Stegostoma tigrinum: one gene and its partner. Each later gene encodes a partner of the first gene's protein in a complex. Links are inferred from orthologs where the notes say so. Each region holds a gene or a part of one and is shown in the gene's direction. Other genes may lie near its edges.

What was found.
Region 2: lamtor4 (region 1) and lamtor2 share a complex: the UniProt entries of both Homo sapiens proteins name them as parts of the ragulator complex. The link is inferred for Stegostoma tigrinum from reciprocal best matches to the Homo sapiens genes LAMTOR4 and LAMTOR2.

Annotation. Positions count from the first base shown.
Region 1 is NC_081398.1:4,436,554-4,446,902, reverse strand, and holds the start of lamtor4 (ragulator complex protein LAMTOR4), read left to right. Parts: upstream 1-4,036; 5' UTR 4,037-4,162; coding exon 4,163-4,165; intron 4,166-10,349. UniProt on the Homo sapiens protein: As part of the Ragulator complex it is involved in amino acid sensing and activation of mTORC1, a signaling complex promoting cell growth in response to growth factors, energy levels, and amino acids.
Region 2 is NC_081400.1:6,455,830-6,464,097, reverse strand, and holds lamtor2 (ragulator complex protein LAMTOR2), read left to right. Parts: upstream 1-4,812; 5' UTR 4,813-4,867; coding exon 4,868-4,935; intron 4,936-6,047; coding exon 6,048-6,210; intron 6,211-6,648; coding exon 6,649-6,738; intron 6,739-7,338; coding exon 7,339-7,446; downstream 7,447-8,268. UniProt on the Homo sapiens protein: As part of the Ragulator complex it is involved in amino acid sensing and activation of mTORC1, a signaling complex promoting cell growth in response to growth factors, energy levels, and amino acids.

The DNA of each region.
Region 1 (10,349 bases):
GGCTACAGTTTGCTTTAAATATATTTCTTAGATTGTAGTTGAAGTAGCCAGACTAGAAACAATGATTAAATTAGGATAGATTGCAGTAAGTGGAAAGAATCAATTGTCATATTTCTGAACTCTTATTGTATTATCCTACAACACGTGAACATATTCAATAAAGTTTGTTATGCGTTAATTTGTGTCCTGATTAGCTCCTTTTTCTGAGACAACAAGGTGTAGAGCTGGATGAACACAGCAGGCCAAGCAGCATCAGAGGAGCAGGAAGGCTGACATTTCGGGCCTCGACCCTTCTTCAGAAATGCTTTTCTGAAGAAGGGTCTAGGCCTGAAACGTCAGCCTTCCTGCTCCTCTGATGCTGCTTGGCCTGCTGTGTTCATCCAGCTCTACACCTTGTTATCTCAGATTCTCCAGCATCTGCAGTTCCGACTATCTCTCTAGCTCCTCTTTCTGTCCTGTTTGCTTAACGCATTCCTTCTGTTACAAAAATAACTCACAGCTACAATTTAACTACAATTGTTGGGATGTTGTAGACAAGCATGTCCACCCATAATTGCCCTCAAAGTGGTGGCAGTCTGATTACTGAGGGTGAGGTACAGAGAAGAGTTACGAATATGCTGCCAGAAATGAAGAATTTATTTGAGGAAAGACTGGATGAACACAAGAAGTATTCTTACGTATATAGAAATAATATATAAGCATTACATACTGTGTTAAAGTTGATACATTAAATATGAACATAAAAACAACTCACTGATTGATATCTACAGTTAAATTGCTGGATAGTTTTAACCATATCCTTGCTTTTATGCACTTGTTTTCTTTGGACAGAAGAGGCTGAGAGTTGATTTAATTGAGGTGCATAACATTATTTAGATTTATTTAATATTGTCACACTTACCTACAGTGGAAAGTGTTGTTTTGCAAGTTATCCACAACATGTCACCACTCTGCAGTGCCATCTCGGATCTGTTTGCATTGCATGCTTTTACTGCAATAGCTTTGGTATTTTTAGGTTCAGCTGTTCATCTTCTCATTTGGCTCTCCTTCTTCTTTCTCTTTCTCAGCTGCTCCTACAGTTCCTGCTACTTTAACATTGGCTGGGGTCTTGGTAATGGGCTTCTCCACCATATCTGAGTGCTGCTGAGGTCCTGGTTCTGGGCACATCTTCTGCCACTGCTCATGCGGCATATCCGAGCTGGAATGGGTCATGGGCCTGGTGCTACACAGGGCCCTGCCTCTTGCAGAAGGATGTGACCCCAAGGCAACCAAAGAGGGGAGAACAGTGGAGATTGGGAGATAAAAGGAAAGAGACATAATAAAAAAAGGGCCTACTTCCCTTAGCAGACCTGTCAAGAATCCAGAGCTGTAGCAATTTGTTAGATTGGAGAAGAGTTGAGAAGATATTTACCCAGAAAAGTGTGGATATGGAACTCTCCATCTAAAAGTTCTGTAGTGAGGCATAAATTCACTTTGCATTTAAAATAAAATCTTTTTGGATGCGCACTTGAAGCGCTATACGCTACACAGCTATGCTGACAGGGCTGGTAAGAGAAATTAGGCTGGGTGATCCATCTTGGTTGGCACACAGATGATGGGCCATATGGAATCAGTCTGCTCAGTAAAACTCTTGTTTGTGCCTGTCTTTTTGAAATGTCACAGCCCAAGTCATGAAAGTATTCTAGCTACTGCTGAGTTTTGGCGAGTTGCCTGAAGTGCATATTGTAGATGGTATACACACATTGCAGTGGTGGAGGATGTCGATGCTTAATGAGTGTTAATCAGCAGGCTGCTGGTGCTGATAAGAGAGCTTGTACAGAAGCACCTCTCTCTAGAGAAAATGATACTTCACTCCATTTTTGTCTTGTGCATTGGCAGGTCAGTAGCTGAACCTGCAAATTACCACACCTGATCCAGTCTAGCAGCCACATCACATATCTGCCTGATGCAGCAAAGTTTCTTGTGCAGGGTAATCACAGTTTCTTTCCAGTAAATAATAGTAGTGCCATTTAAACATTATGAGTGGAAGGGGTTGGGGTGGGGTGGAGAATGGGCTAAGACAGTATTGGTTATGATTTAGTGTGATTCTGGGGGAACAAAGCAGGCCAGGCAGCATCAGAGGAGCAGGAAAGCTGACATTTTGGGTCGGGACCCTTCTTCAGAAATGGGGTATTTCAAGAAAGGGGTCCTGATCTGAAATGTCAGTTTTCCTGCACTTCTGAGGCTGCCTGGCCTGCTGTGCTCCTCCAGCTCCACACTGTGTTATCTCCAGCATCAGCAATTCTTACTATCTCTCTTGGTTATGAGCTCAATTGGTAGAATCAGCCTGAAAACTTACAGGACATGAATGTAATTTGTCGCTTATCAGGCCAAACATAGATGGTGTCTTTTTCTGCATTAAGGGAAAGAGTGTGTCTTAGGAATGCATTCATGCATGCACTGTTTCGTTAACAAAGGGACTGCAAATGATGCTTTCCAGGCTGCACGAAGGGACTCCTGCTGAAAAGTCTTGGGCTTGAGATCATGATTAGAAATCACAACTATGTTAGACGGAAAGAAAATAGGAGCAAGGGTAGGCTATTTGACCCGTCAAGTCTGCTGTGCCGTTCCTTATGATCACCCAGTGCCCTGTTCTCGCTCTTTCCTGTCCCCCTACCCTTCGTGTCTCCCTGTGTTCTCCGCAGCCACGTAACTTGTACCACTTCAAGTGTGCACCCAGAAGGATTTTATTTCAAATGCGACGTGAGTTTCTGCCTCACGACAGAACTGGTAGGAAGAAGTAGGTATCAACGCTTTTCGGATGGCTTGTGTAGGCGTTCTTCCTCGGCTTTGCGCAGCCCCAGGGTGTGTTTCTTGCGGCTGGCTTTGAACGGGGTTTTTGATGCGGCCCTGTTTGTGGGCACTTTGGGGACGATTGCTACTGTACTTGAGGGCCCTGTCTGTGCCGGTGACCTTCCTGTGTCCATTGGCCTGGGGTTCGCCGTTGGCCTGACGGTTGACCACTGTGCCTGGGAAGGGGGTTCTGTTATTGTTCTGCTCCTCCTCCTTGGTGAATTATATGCCGGCGAGGATGTTGTTTATGGGTTTTCCTCCAGTTTAGAGCGTTTAATAACGACAAAGGTGTCGTCCACACATGGTTTTGGATGGTCGTCCGCTCCACTCGACGCCTTACGGCTTCCGCTATTCACCCTGATACCGGTGATCCCATGGGTTATTCGGTTGATTTGTCCCTGTACCTTGCCGTGGAGCAAATTACTTCACGACGACAAAATTAATCAAGAGAAATAAATCTAAATGGATGTCATGGAAGAGACTGAGGGAACTCAAGCCGATCACATCAGGAGGGCGGGGCCGACCGAAGGGAGACTGACGGCCGGACGGTCCAACCAGAGTGTTGCGGGCCTATCGGTATTCACCAATCGGACGAAGGCAACGCTCTGATTGACGTCCCATCCAACCAAACGGACGGCCACAGGGGCCTTTTGACCAATTGGCTTGGAGGATAGCGGAGGTGGGAAGGGGGGTGGAACGCCCTCGCGGCTAGCGGTTGGGGACGAGGAGGGCGGGGACATGCGCGAAGTGGGAAGGGCGCGCGAGATCAGAAGGCGGGGAGGAGGACGAGTTCCGTTCAATCAATGACGAGAGCGCTGGCGGCTGCATGTCATGTGATATACGGAAGCGGCGTGACGTTGGATCATAGGAGACGGTGATAGCCGGAACCATGGACCAATAGAGGAGACCTACAGTCCAAAGGACGGGGACGAGAAGTAGGCGGGTTATTTGACAGATGATGGACGGCTGTGTCGATCAATCAGCGGTTAGGATGGTCGATACTGTCCAATCGCCTGTGACGGACAGATTTGGGGGTTGTACCCAGGTCATGTGGGACTGTACGTGGTGTGGGTGGGACGCCGGCTCAGTGATGATAGATGGCTATGCTGACCAATCGAAATGAACGGCGTAGCGAAGCCGTCCAATCACCCAGGTCGCGGTGGGTCGTATATGATAATTTGGTTGACTGACAGAGGAACAGACCAATCAGAAACCGTCGACTCCCGGCATAAGCGAACGAGGAACGGTGGGGGTGTGGGAATCTGAGTGTCATGTGACGCGGGCTTTAACCGACGGGCGGAGGCTGAAGACGTGCCCGGGCTCTGTCTCGATGGTGAGTACGAGCTTGTTGGGTAGCGGGGTGGTTTAAAAAAAAACACACACAACATCCACCCGATTCGTGGTGTACACTTTCTCCCGGGGGTGGCTGGAAGCCGTTAACCGCCTGTCACCTGTCATTCCCCGGGTGACTGGGCCCGGGAGGTCACAGGTCACGGCCATTGGCCATTTCCCCCTGTTTTAAAACTAGGACGGGCCCTGGTCTAAAAATAACCCAAACCGCTTGAATTCAAACATTGCAATTTGTCATTTGCACCGCATGGAATCGTTTGCATTGCATTGAACGCGCTGATGATATTCAGCATTTGCTTGCACGCTTTGGGTGGGCGATAGTCAACTGTTTACAAACGAGGGAGGGAGGCAGCTGAAGAGGCGAGATACTTCCATTCTTGAGATGGCGTCTGCCCTGGAGATTCCTGTGGACAAGTTGGGGCGCTATTTCTGGCACCAAACAGTCCATGAATCCAGGCTTGAGGGGCCGAGGGGCCGAATGGCCTGCCCCACCCCCCTCCCTTGTTTCCTATAATCCTAAAATCTTAGGGTATGCCACCACCCTCCTTTCTCACCTTCCCACCCACTTTCTTTTTGTCTGCAGTGTTCAGTGTGTGGCCTTCTGTTGTTGACTTATACATTCAGCAGGTGCCAATCTCTGAAAGTTCCTGCCTCAGAGTAGGTGTGAGGTTGGATTGGGGTGGGATTAGTGTACAGGTAAGAGTGCGGAGATAGTAGGAATTGCTGATGCTGGAGAATTTGAGATAACACGGTGTGGAGCTGGATGGACACTGCAGGCCAAGCTGACGTTTCGGGTCGGGGCCCTTCTTCAACGATTCCATGCGGTGCAAATGACATGGAGAGTGTGGAGAAAGATCAACTCAAATATTGGAGAGGTCTTAAGTCTGATAACAGTGGGGAAGAAGCTGTTCTTTTAAATCTGTTCGTACAAAATTTGTTCTATCTTCTGCCTGATGGAAGAGAGTATAACCAGAGTGGGAGGGGTCATTATGTGGGTTGCTCTCCCGAGGAATTGGAATGTGTGGATGGAGTCAATGGATGGAAGGCTGCCTTGTGTGATGGACTGGACTGTGTTCACAACTCTGTCATTTTTCTTTTGCGGTCTTGGGCAGAGCTGTGATGCATCCAGATAGAATGTTTTCTCTTTTGCATGGGCTGTGGGGTGGGGAGACCTAAGTTTGGTCAGTGATGAGTTAGGTTTAAGTTTTTAATAGCTGTTAGCAGGAATTGGAACAGATTTTTAATCCTCCTAGTTCTTAAAATCAAATCCTGGGTAACTTTTTTAACCTTGAGTAAATCTCAACCTTCTGACTTCTTCAGTGAGCTCTTTCAAAGGGTTCCAAATTGGGAAAATCTGGTTTTCTAGGCAATTCCCACAGAGCCAGGTGCATCTGGGATTTTTGCACAGTCCTAACCTGCAGCTCCAGTCTATGTTGCTGTAGCAAGCATTTGGACATGGGACTACCTGTGTCAGAGAGAACAATAGCAGGTGTAGATTTCCAGGGGTTGGGAGAAAGATGTGACAGCAGTTGATGAGGAATTTTTTTTGTTTAACCTACTATGTGGTGAGAATCTGTAAACTGCTGTCTGTTAGGCTGGTCTAGGCAGAAAGCCTCATCACGTTTCTAAGAGATACTAGAATGTACACCTGAAGCAGCACAACCTGCAAGACTACAGACTGAAAGACTGTGAGATTGGCGATGACTTCTAAATGTTCCCTCAACTCTTTGACCACTCTTTTGGTCATTCGGTTAACATCCCCTCTGTTAGCTTGGTGAAAGACAGCGCTTTATAAAGCGTTATGAAGCACCATGAGATGTTTTATCGAACTCTGAAACAGTTACAACATAGAAAGAGGCCTTTCAGCCCATTGCATCTGTGCTGGGTCTTGCCCAGACACCTCCCCTCCCTTGTCTTTTTCCCCGTGAACCTGCATTATTTGCCCTGTCCTCTTTGAAAGCCGCGACGCTGCCAGGTACCACGTTCCCAATCCCAACAACTTGCTGCGTTTTTACGAAAGAAAGTTTCCTTTCCTTTCCTTTCCTACATCGCTCGTCCTTTTCCCAGTCTCTCTCGGTCTCCATCTGACAGAGAATGTGAGGAAATATAGGAGCAGGAGCAGGAGAATGGGCTGAATGGCATCAAGCACTGCTATTCACCTCAATCTTGGCTGAATCTCCACCTCAACCGATTTCCCGACACTATCCCAGTAAATAAAGTTATAAGAAACAGGAGCAGGACTGGGCCGTCAGGCCCCTCAAACCTGCCCTGCCATTCGATTAAAATCATGGCTGATCTTTTCGTGGACTTACTTGCCCGCTCACCATAACGCTTAATTCCTTTACTGTTTAAAACTCTTAATTTTTGCCTTAAAAACATTCAACCATGTACCCTCAACTACTTCTCTGGGCAGGGAATTCCACAGATTCACAACCCTTTGGGTGAAGAAGTTGCTCCTGACCTCAGTCCTAAATCTGCTTCCCCCATTATTTTGAGACCATGCCCCACACGTTCTAGTTTCACCTGCCCAGTGGAAACAACCTCCCCACTTCTATGTCATCTATTCCCTTCATAACTTTATACGTTTCTGTCAGATCCCCCTCGTTCTTTTAAATTCCAATAAGTACAGTCCCAGTCTAATCAATCTCTTCTCATAAGACACAGGAGTGGAAGTAAGACCATTCGGCCCGTCAAGTCCACTCCACCATTTAAATCATGGCTGATGGGCATTTCAACTCCACTTCCCTGCACTCTCCCCGTAGCCCTTGATTCCTTCTGAGATCAAGAATTTGTCGATCTCTGCCTTGAAGGCATCCAATGTCCCGGCCTCCACTGCACTCCGTGGCAATGAATTCCACAAGCCCACCACACTCTGGCTGAAGAAATGTCGTCTCATTTCAGTTTTAAATTTACCCCCTCTAATTTTAAGGCTGTGCCCATGGGTCCTAGTCTCCCCGCCTAACGGAAACAACTTCCTAGCGTCCACCCCTTCTAAACCATACATTATCTTGTAAGTTCTATTAGATCTCCCCTCAACCTTCCAAACTCTAATGAGTACAATCCCAGGATCCTTAGCCGTTCATCATATGTTAAACCTACCATTCCAGGGATCATCCGTGTGAATCTCTGTTGGACACGCACCAGGGCTAGTATGTCCTTCCTGAGGTGTGGGGCCCAAAATTGGACACAGTATTCTAAATGGGGCCTAACTAGAGCCTTACAAAGCCTGAGAAGCACATCGCTGCTTTTATATTCCAACCCTCTTGAGATAAACGACAACATTATAGTCGCTTTCTTAATCACGGACTCTACCTGCAAGTTAACCTTTAGAGAATCCTGGACCAACACTCCCAGATCCCTTTGTACTTGTGCTTTGTGAATTTTCTCACCGTTTAGAAAATAGTCCATGCCTGTATTCTTTTTTCCAAAGTGCAAAACCTCGCATTTACTCACATTGAATTTCATCAGCCATTTCCTGGACCACTGTCCTAAACTGTCTAAATCTTTCTGCAGCCTCCCCACCTCCTCAGTACTACCTGCCTGTCCACCTATCTTCGTATCATCAGCAAACTTCGCCAGAATGCCCCCAGTCCCTTCATCCAGATCATTAATGTATAAGGTGAACAGCTGCGGCCCCAACACTGAACCCTGCGGGACAACACTCGTCACCGGTTGCCATTCCATTCAAGAGCCTTTTATCCCCAACACTCTGCCTTCTGTCAGACAGCCAATCCTCAATCCAAGCCGGTAGCTCACCTTGAACACCACGGGCCCTCACCTTGCTCAGCAGCCTCCCGTGAGGCACTGTATCAAAGGCCTTTTGGAAGTCTAGATAGATAACGTGGGTTTCCCTGGTCTAACATACTTGTTACCTCTTCAAAGAATTCTAACAGGTTTGTCAGGCACGACCTCCCCTTACTAAATCCATGCTGACTTGTTCTAATCTGACACTGCACTTCCAGGAATTTAGAAATCTCATCCTTAGCAGTGGATTCTAGAATTTTACCAACTACCGAGGTTAGGCTAATCGGCCTATAATTTTCCATCTTTTGCCTTGATCCTTTCTTAAACAAGGGGGTTACAACAGCAATTTTCCAATCATCTGGGACTTTCCCTGACTCCAGTGACTTTTGAAAGATCACATCCAAAGCCTCTGCTATTTCCTCAGCCACCTCCCTCAGAACTCTAGGATGTAGCCCATCGGGGCCAGGAGATTTATCAATTTTTAGACCTTTTAGCTTTTCTAGCATTTTCTCTTTTGTAATGCCTACTGTACCCAACTCTGCCCCCTGGCTCTCCCTAATTGTTGGCATACTACTCATGTCTTCCACTGTGAATTCTGACGCAAAGTACTTAAGTTCTTCAGCTATTTCCTTATCTCCCATCACTAGCCTTCCAGCATCAATTTGGAGCGGCCCAATGTCTACTTTTGCCTCTTGTTTGTTTCTTATGTATTGAAAGAAGCTTTGACTATCATTTCTAATATTACTAGCTAGCCTACCTTCATATTTGATCCTCTCCTTCCTTATTGCTCTCCTTGTTATCCTCTGTCTGTTTTTGCAGCCTTCCCAATCTTCTGATTTCCTAGTGCTCTTGGCCACTTTATAGGCTGTCTCTTTTTCTTTGATATATTTCCTGACTTCCTTTGTCAGCCATGGCTGTCTAATCCCACTGCGGATAATCTTTCTTTTTCTTTGGGATGAACCTCTGTATTGTGTCCTCAATTACACCCAGAAATTCCTGCCATTGTTGCTCTACTGTCTTCCCTGCTCGGCTCTGCCTCCAGTCGATTTTCGTCAATCCCCTGTAGTTACCTTTATTTAGCTGTAATACCATTACATCCGATTTTGCCTCCTCTCTTTCAAACTGCAGACTGAACTCTACCATATTATGACCACTGCCTCCTAAGTGTTACTTTAAGGTCTTTTATAAAGCCAACCCCCTCAACTCTGGAATCGACCCAGTGAACCTCCTCTGCATCCCCTCCAGTGCCAGGAATGTCCTTTCTCAAGTAAGGAGACCAAAATGTTACCCCTTTAAACTTCTTGATGTTCAAGAAAGATATCATTGAACATACTCACTGGTTGAGCCTGCACAGTATTCTTGAGTGGACAGTTCCTAGGACACTCTACCCTCCGACTGGTTGGAAGAGATTGGATTTTGTGATAATAAAGTTTCTTTAAGTTATGGTGCCAGGCTGTCGAGCGGTTAGAATGCCGACTGGGTGAGTGAGGGCTTCTGCGTTTGAATAGGATGCTGTTTTGTCTGCACTTCAGTTCCACACAGCTCGTTTGTTGGGAAAGGTGGGGGTGGAATCAGGGTCAGTGTGAGTGATATATATAGAGAAAGTAACCTGGCCAATTGGCAGACCTCCTCATGGATCAGCGCTCAGTGCTGGCTGTAAACAGGCCCCTTGCCACTAGGAAGTTGAGAGGAATCTTTGGCCTGACTGCTGGTCAGCTGCATCTTTCACCCTTGTGACTGTGCCTGGGAGACCTTGGGAGGGAACATGCGGTGTCCAGGGGCATGTGTGAGGTGTTCTGTGGACACTGCAGGGGCTGTTGTGTGTTATCAAAATGATGCTTCTTAATCTGAATTTAGTTGGTTTAAAGTTTGAATCCTTCAGGGACTTTACAGCCTTTTTTTTTGCATGTTTTAATTTGAGTTTTTTTTTTATTAAAATGATTTTGAAAGAGCTGGAACAAAAACCCCTTCCATCTAGAAGGACAAGGGCAGCAGGTACATGGGACCGCCGCCCCTCGCAAGTTCCACACACCACACTCCACCCCCCCACTCCCCCCAAATTCTGGAAATACATCGGCCGTTCTTCCTGTGTCACTGAGTCAAAATCCAGGAATGGTTTTCCTGCACTAGCCATTCAACATGGTGTTCCCCAGCTCCCCTCTCCAAACCACCTCCAGAACGGGGAGGGATTGGTAACTAATGCCAGTCCAGTCAACTGTGCCCACACCCATTGAACAAAAGAGATAAAGTGGGTGGGAAGAGTTTAATGGGGAGCAGAAACGGAGTATTTGGCAGAGAGTATTTGGACTGAATGGTCCGTAGGTCCTACTGTTGTACAGCCAGGGATCAGCATTGTCACTTTCCTCTCTGTTGTGTCAGCCCCTCTGCAATGTCCACTATTTACAGAAGCTTTTCATTTCTCT
Region 2 (8,268 bases), on another chromosome or scaffold:
TAATAAAATGTGAGGCTGGATGAACACAGCAGGCCAAGCAGCATCTCAGGAGCACAAAAGCTGACATTTCGGGCCTAGACCCTTCATCAGAGAGGGGGATGGGGAGAGGGAACTGGAATAAATAGGGAGAGAGGGGGAGGCGGACCGAAGATGGAGAGAAAGAAGATAGGTGGAGAGAGTATAGGTGGGGAGGTAGGGAGGGGATAGGTCAGTCCAGGGAAGACGGACAGGTCAAGGAGGCAGGATGAGGTTAGTAGGTAGGAGATGGAGGTGCGGCTTGGGGTGGGAGGAAGGGATGGGTGAGAGGAAGAACAGGTTAGGGAGGCAGAGACAGGCTGGGCTGGTTTTGGGATGCAGTGGGTGGAGGGAAAGAGCTGGGCTGGTTGTGTGATGCAGTGGGGGGAGGGGATGAACTGGGCTGGTTTTGGGATGCGGTGGGGGAAGGGGAGATTTTGAAGCTGGTGAAGTCCACATTGATACCATTGGGCTGCAGGGTTCCCAAGCGGAATATGAGTTGCTGTTCCTGCAACCTTCGGGTGGCATCATTGTGGCACTGCAGGAGGCCCATGATGGACATGTCATCAAGAGAATGGGAGGGGGAGTGGAAATGGTTTGCGACTGGGAGGTGCAGTTGTTTGTTGCGAACTGAGCGGAGGTGTTCTGCAAAGCGGTCCCCAAGCCTCCGCTTGGTTTCCCCAATGTAAAGGAAGCCACACCAGGTACAGTGGATACAGTATACCACATTGGCAGATGTGCTGGTGAACCTCTGCTTAATGTGGAAAGTCATCTTGGGGCCTGGGATGGGGGTGAGGGAGGAGGTGTGGGGGCAAGTGTAGCATTTCCTGCAGTTGCAGGGGACGGTGCCGGGTGTGGTGGGGTTGGAGGGCAGTGTGGAGCGAACAAGGGAGTCACGGAGAGAGTGGTCTCTCCGGAAAGCAGACAGGTGTGGGGATGGAAAATTGTCTTGGGTGGTGGGGTCGGATTGTAAATGGCGGAAGTGTTGGAGGATGATGCGTTGTATCCGGAGGTTGGTGGGGTGGTGTGTGAGAACGAGGGGGATCCTCTTTGGGCGGTTGTGGCGGGGGCGGGGTGTGAGAGATGTGTTGCGGGAAATATGGGAGACGTGGTCAAGGGCGTTCTCGATCACTGTGGGGGGAAAGTTGTGGTCCTTGAAGAACTTGGACATCTGGGATGTGCGGGAGTGGAATGCTTCATCGTGGGAGCAGATGCGGCGGAGGCGGAGGAATTGGGAATAGGGAATGGAATTTTTGCAGGAGGGTGGGTGGGAGGAGGTGTATTCTAGTTAGCTGTGGGAGTCGGTGGCTTGAAATGGACATCAGTTACAAGCTGGTTGCCTGAGATGGAGACTGAGAGATCCAGGAAGGTGAGGGATGTGCTGGAGATGGCCCAGGTGAACTTGAGGTTGGGGTGGAAGGTGTTGGTGAAGTGGATGAACTGATCGAGCTCCTCTGGGGAGCAAGAGGCGGCGCCGATACAGTCATCAATGTACCGGAGGAAGAGGTGGGGTTTGGGGCCTGTGTAGGTGCGGAAGAGGGACTGTTCCACGTAACCTACAAAGAGGCAGGCATAGCTGGGGCCCATGCGGGTGCCCATGGCCACCCCCTTTGTCTGTAGGAAGTGGGAGGAGTCGAAAGAGAAGTTGTTGAGGGTGAGGACGAGTTTAGCTAGGCAGATGAGGGTGTCTGTGGAGGGGGACTGGTTGGGCCTGCGAGACAGGAAGAAGCGGAGGGCCTTGAGGCCATCTGCATGCGGAATGCAGGTGTATAGGGACTGGACGTCCATGGTGAAAATGAGGTGTTGGGGGCCAGGGAATTGGAAGTCCTGGAGGAGGTGGAGGGCGTGGGTGGTGTCACGGACATAGGTAGGGAGTTCCTGGACCAATGGGAGAAAATGGAGTCCAGATAGGTGGAGATGAGTTCGGTGGGGCAGGAGCAGGCGGAGACGATGGGTCGACCAGGGCAGGCAGGTTTGTGGATTTTGGGAAGGAGATAGAAACGGGCCGTGCGGGGTTGGGGAACGATGAGGTTGGAGGCTGTGGGTGGGAGGTCCCCTGAGGTGATGAGGTCATGAATGGTGTTGGAGATGATGGTTTGGTGCTCGGGTGTGGGGTCATGATCGAGGGGGCGGTAGGAGGTGGTGTCGGAGAGTTGGCGTGTGGCCTCGGCGATGTAGAGGTCAGTGCGCCATACTACCACTGCGCTACCCTTGTCTGCGGGTTTGATGGTGAGGTTGGGTTTGGAGCGGAGGGAGCGGAGGGCTGTCCGTTCTGCAGGGGAGAGGTTGGAGTGGGTGAGGGGGTGGAGAGGTAGAGGCGGTTAATGTCTCGACTTCACCAGCTTCAAAATTTCCCCTTCCCCCACCGCATCCCTAAACCAGCCCAGTTCATCCCCTCCCCCCACTGCACTACACAACCAGCCCAGCTCTTACCCTCCACCCACTGCATCCCAAAACCAGTCCAACCTGTCTCTGCCTCCCTAACCTGTTCTTCCTCTCACCCATCCCTTCCTCCCACCCCTAGCCGCACCCCCATCTACCTACTAACCTCATCCCACCTCCTTGACCTGTCCGTCTTCCCTGGACTGACCTATCCCCTCCCTACCTCCCCACCTATACTCTCCTCTCCACCTATCTTCTTTACTCTCCATCTTCGGTCCGCCTCCCCCTCTCTCCCTATTTATTCCAGAACCCTCACCCCATCCCCCTCTCTGATAAAGGGTCTAGGCCCGAAACGTCAGCTTTTGTGCTCCTGAGATGCTGCTTGGCTTGCTGTGTTCATCCAGCCTCACATTTTATAATCTGGGGCTGGATTATGTTGGCGTGGATAAGTTGGACTGAAGGGTCTCTTTCTGTGCTGTACAACTCTGTGACTCTTTACAGTTTACAGAGAAATATTGATAAAAATTTGGCAAATAGATTATACCAAGTGAAAATATGAAGTTGTTCATTTTGGAAGAGAGAACAAAAGAACACAATATTACTCAACCGGAGAGAAGCTGCAGAAAGCTGCAACAAACTGCAGGAAACATAGCAAGCTAACCACATGTAGTCAGGAAGGGCTAGTGAGATGTTGGCCCTTATTTCAAGAGGGTTGGAGTATCATAGTAGAGAAGTCTTATTTGCAACTATGCTAGGCACTGGGGAAATCACATCTGGAGTGCTGTTAGCAGTTTAAGTCCCCTTATTTAGATAAAGATAGTTTCATTGGAAGAAGTTTAGAGAAGTTTGAGGTGATCCAAGGTATGGAGGGATTGTCTTTTGAGCAAGGATTAAACAGGTTGGGACTCTACTAAGTGGAGTTTAGAAGAATGAGAAATAATCTCATTGAAACATATAGGACTCCGAAGGGGCTCACCGGGGACTCTCCTCATGGGAGAGTCTAGGACCTTAGGTCATAGTCTTAGAATAAGTTTAAGACTGAAGTGAGGAGGAATTTCTTTTCTGAGAGGAGGTGTTTGAGAGTCTTTGGAACTCTTTGCTGCAGAGAGGGGCCAGACTCCTCCTGTATATTTAAGGCTCAGATAGATTGGATTTCTTGATCAGTCAGGAAATCAAAACTTACAGGGAAAATACAGCAATGTGGATGTGAGGAATGTTAGATTAACCTTGATCCCATTGAATAGCAGAGCAGGCTTGAGCAGTTGAATGGCCTATTCCTGTCATTTCCTCTTAATTTGGTTCCAAAGCAAATCATGTTAAAATTGCGTGGAATGCTAAGTTAGCTTTAGCTGAAATAATGTCCAGTTGTGGGCATCACATTTTAAGAAGGCACCAGAGCATACAGGCAAGGATTTGCAGGATTGGTTCCAGGGATGATGGATTTCAGTGTTGTGAATAGATCAGAGATGCTAGGACTGTTTTCTTGCAGAAGAGAAGTCAGGGAGGAGATTTTACCAAAACTTTGGAAACCATTAGGGGTCAGGAATGGAACGGAGAGGGAGAAATTGTTCCCATTCGCAGAGAGATTGGACTAGTGGGCACGGAATCGAAGACTATTGGTAATCAGAAAGTGGGAGTAGGATCACCATCTGAAATGGAAGAACATACATGGCAATAAGTAGAAGCTCGCAGGGGGAGCACTCATTCAGAAATGGAATGGGCTTAATGGCATCCTCTTGTGCTTTAACAATTCTGCAGGTTATGCATGGCGCTACAGAAATTCAGGGGACATTGCCAAGCTTCTGTCATCTGTTGCAGCTGTAAATGTTAGCACCGTGGTGTCCGTTCTGTTTTGTTGTCTGTTTAAAGGCTGATGGTTAATGTATTGTTTTTTCCGAGCAGGTGGGACCTGAGCCCGGGCCTCCCTGTCCAGGGGTAGGAAAACTACCATTACAGCACAATAAAACCTGATTAGACAATTCTCCTTTACCAAGATGGTGACAAAGCCGCACTTCCGTCTTAGCCGATTGTTTCCCCTTTACAAATATGGTGAACAGGGTGGCTTCAGCTATTTCCGAAGCAATGGGAACGTCTGGATGGGTACCCCATTGCCAATATGGCGGCGACAAGGCGTCTCCTTGGGCAGCTTCGACGAGATCTCCCTTACAAATATGGCGACGGCATAGCGCCCGCGTTCTCCTTACCAAGATGGCGGCGGGAGAATTTTTTTTTAACCTTCGCCGCAGATGATTGCCTTATATTCCGGAAAATAACGCTCACCGATTAAAACTCCCAAAGGAGGCGGTCGTGGTTAAAATATGCGCAGAGATGCATGTTCCGGCGGAAGGGGTTGGGGGGGCAGGACCACGTGAGAGTGAGATCACGGGCTGTAGGCGGCGGGATTTGGAACTACAGATCCCAGAGTGCACGGCTGTTTCCGGTCACTGTGGACTTCCGGCGACTCCCGAAGATGTTGAGGCCCAAAGCCCTGACCCAGGTCCTGAGCCAGGCCAACACCGCGGGGGTCCAGAGCACCCTGTGAGTGAGGGGGCTGCGGCGAGGGCGGAGGGAGGGCCTGGGGGAGTCAGGGAGAGACCTTGGGAGGCGTGGCCCCAGTGTGTTATGGAGGGTGGGGGCTGGAGACCCCGTGGGGGCAGTGTGTGGTGGGAGTGGGGGCGGGGGCTGGAGACCCCGTGGGGGCAGTGAGTGGGGGGTGACGGGGGGCTGGAGACCCCGTGGGGGCAGTGAGTGGGGGGGTGACGGGGGCTGGAGACCCCGTGGGGGCAGTGAGTGGGGGGTGGTGGGGGCTGGAGACCCCGTGGGGGCAGTGAGTGGGGGGAGTGGGGGCGGGGGCTGGAGACCCCGTGGGGGCAGTGTGTGGTGGGAGTGGGGGCGGGGGCTGGAGACCCCGTGGGGGCAGTGTGTGGTGGGAGTGGGGGCGGGGGCTGGAGACCCCGTGGGGGCAGTGTGTGGTGGGAGTGGGGGCGGGGGCTGGAGACCCCGTGGGGGCAGTGAGTGGGGGGAGTGGGGGCGGGGGCTGGAGACCCCGTGGGGGCAGTGTGTGGTGGGAGTGGGGGCGGGGGCTGGAGACCCCGTGGGGGCAGTGAGTGGGGGGTGGCGGGGGCTGGAGACCCCGTGGGGGCAGTGAGTGGGGGGAGTGGGGGCGGGGGCTGGAGACCCCGTGGGGGGCAGTGAGTGGGGGGTGGCGGGGGCTGGAGACCCCGTGGGGGCAGTGAGTGGGGGGTGACGGGGGCTGGAGACCCCGTGGGGGCAGTGAGTGGGGGGTGGCGGGGGCTGGAGACCCCGTGGGGGCAGTGAGTGGGGGGTGGCGGGGGCTGGAGACCCCGTGGTGGGGGGGGAGGCATTTGGAAGAAGGCTTCTGTGAGTTGGGGGCAGGAGCGGAGGAGTGGGTGGTGTTATGGTGGGGGTGAAACCCTCTGTGGGTGGGGAGGTGGTGTTTAGGGAGGAGATTGGAGCCTGTGAGCGGGTGTTGGTATACAGACGGATGGGGGGGGTGGTGAAGAGGGGAGCGGGGTGGGATTCCGGGGGGGGGGGGGGGGGTGCTGGTTGGATGTCTGTGCAGGGGTGACATTTGGGGAGGGGTATGTACCGGCTAACAGTAACCATGACCCCCCCCCCCCCCCCCACAGGTTGTTGAACAACGAGGGCTCCCTCCTCGCGTATTCGGGGTACGGAGACACAGATGCCCGGGTGACTGCAGCGATCGCCAGCAACATCTGGGCTGCCTACGCCAAGAACGGGCACCAGGCCTTCAACGAGGACAAGCTACGATTCATCCTCATGGACTGCATGGTGTGGGGCTGCTGGGGGCGGGTGGTGAGGGGAGGCTCACTGTTCCCTTTCAGCACTGACATGGTCACTCTTCCCCCCCCCCCCCCCCCCCCCCACAAGAAGAGTGGCATCGCTTGTGGGGGATCTGGTCCTGCGCCACGAATCCGTCCGTAGCTGAATATCCCGTCCGGCAAGGGGCTGGCTTGCAACAGACTGGGTCAAGTGAGAGCCGCGAGGATTGGGGCGGCGGGGGGTGCAAAACCGACCACCTCCTTTCTCAGGGAGGGGGGTTCCATGCGTGCTTTTGGGCATTGCCCACTTTGAGCCTGTTCACCCTCTGTACGTCCATGCTAAATCCCCCTTGTTCGAGGGTGTGGGCAGCCCTGCGTACCCCACCCCTGTGTGCGTGCGTGTCTTGCCCTCTCTGACCCCCCGTGTGTCTCTCTCTTTCCGTTTCAGGAAGGCAGGGTGGCGATCACCCGTGTGGCCAACCTGCTGCTGTGCATGTACGCAAAGGAGACCGTGGGATTCGGGATGCTGCAGGCGAAGGTGAGCGGGCTGGGGGTGGGTAGGTGACGGGGTTGTGCAGATGGTGGGTGGGTTGCGGGGCTGGAAGGGTGTTTGGGCGGAGGTGGCTGGGGGTGAGGTGGGCCGGGGGGTTGGTGGGGGGGGGAGCGTCGGCGGGTGGGCGGAGGGGGCAGTGCGGTGGGCCGGGGCGTCGGGAGCGATGGAGCTGGGTGGGGGTTGTTAGCGTTTGCTTGTGAGGGCTCCTCTGTGTGGTCCTCGGTCCATGTTGCGTTCACTAGCAGCTTTGTAGCGATGAGACGATGTGATGTAGGAGCAGTTGTGCGCCGCTCAGCCCATCGAGTCCATCCACCCTTCGATGGCTGATCTTGGTCATCCCCATCTCCCAATTTCCTGCCCTTTCCTCCATACCCCCCACCCCCCCGCCCCGGTTCCCTCCCTGGTTTGAAAATCTCTCTTTCCCAGCCTCCAATATAAGTCAGTCATTGTAACCACCATCGCTGAATACCCTACTGTCAACATCCAGGGGTCACCACTGAGGGAGAATCTAACCATTGTGCCCCCCCCTCCGGCATTCAGTGGTGTTAACATCACTCTAGTCTCTTTTCCCACTCCCTGCCTCAGTATCACCACACTGGGGGTTACCATTGCTCAGATATCGATACCATTGCCCCATATCGATACCGGGGGCTACCAAAGCAGGTCAGAGGCTGGGAATCCTGCAGCCAGTGACTCCCGTCCCAACTCCCCTGTCCCACCATTAACAAGGCAGGAGTGTGAGGGAATGCACCCCCCCCCCCCCCGCCACTTGCCCTGGGTGGGGGCAGCTCTGACAAACACTGGAGAAGCTTGACCCCATCTGGGGGCAAAGCAGCCCCCCTCGCCCTCCCTGGATTGGCACCGTGTCCACAAGCCCCCACTCCCCCCCCGCCCCAGCCGATGCTCAGTCGCAGCAGTGTGTACCATTCACAGCGACTCCCCCCAGTCAGCACCTTCCAAACCCGGGACCCCTACCCCCTGGGGATGGGGGCAACGGGCAGCAGGTACAGGGGAACCCCAGCCCCCTGCGAGTTCCCCTCCAAGACACCCCCCCGCCCCCCCCCACACCGTCCTGACTTGGAAGTATGCACCATTCCTTCCCTGGATCAGAAGCCTGGAATTCCCTCCCGAAAGGCACCCGCCCGGCTACACCCGCGTCCCATGAGTGAATTTAGCAAAAAATGACCCAGCCTCAACAGCCCTCCGAGGCGAAGAATTCCGGAGATTCACTCCCCTCGGAGGGAAGGAATTCCTCCCCATCTCTGTCTTTGGTGGGTGACCCCTTCGTCTGTTATGATGCCCCTCTTGTATGAGACCACAAGGTTGGGGGATGGGGGGGGGGTGGAGAAACTCCCTCCCCGCATCTCCCCTCTCATTTTCCGCGTTAATAATCTTTGTGTCAATAAGGTCCCCCCTCATTCTTCTAAAGTGCAATGAGTACAGGCCCCCACCTCCTCAAACCCTCCCTCACGAGTCAGTCCCTCCGTCCCCGGGATGGTACGATAAAAGAAAAAG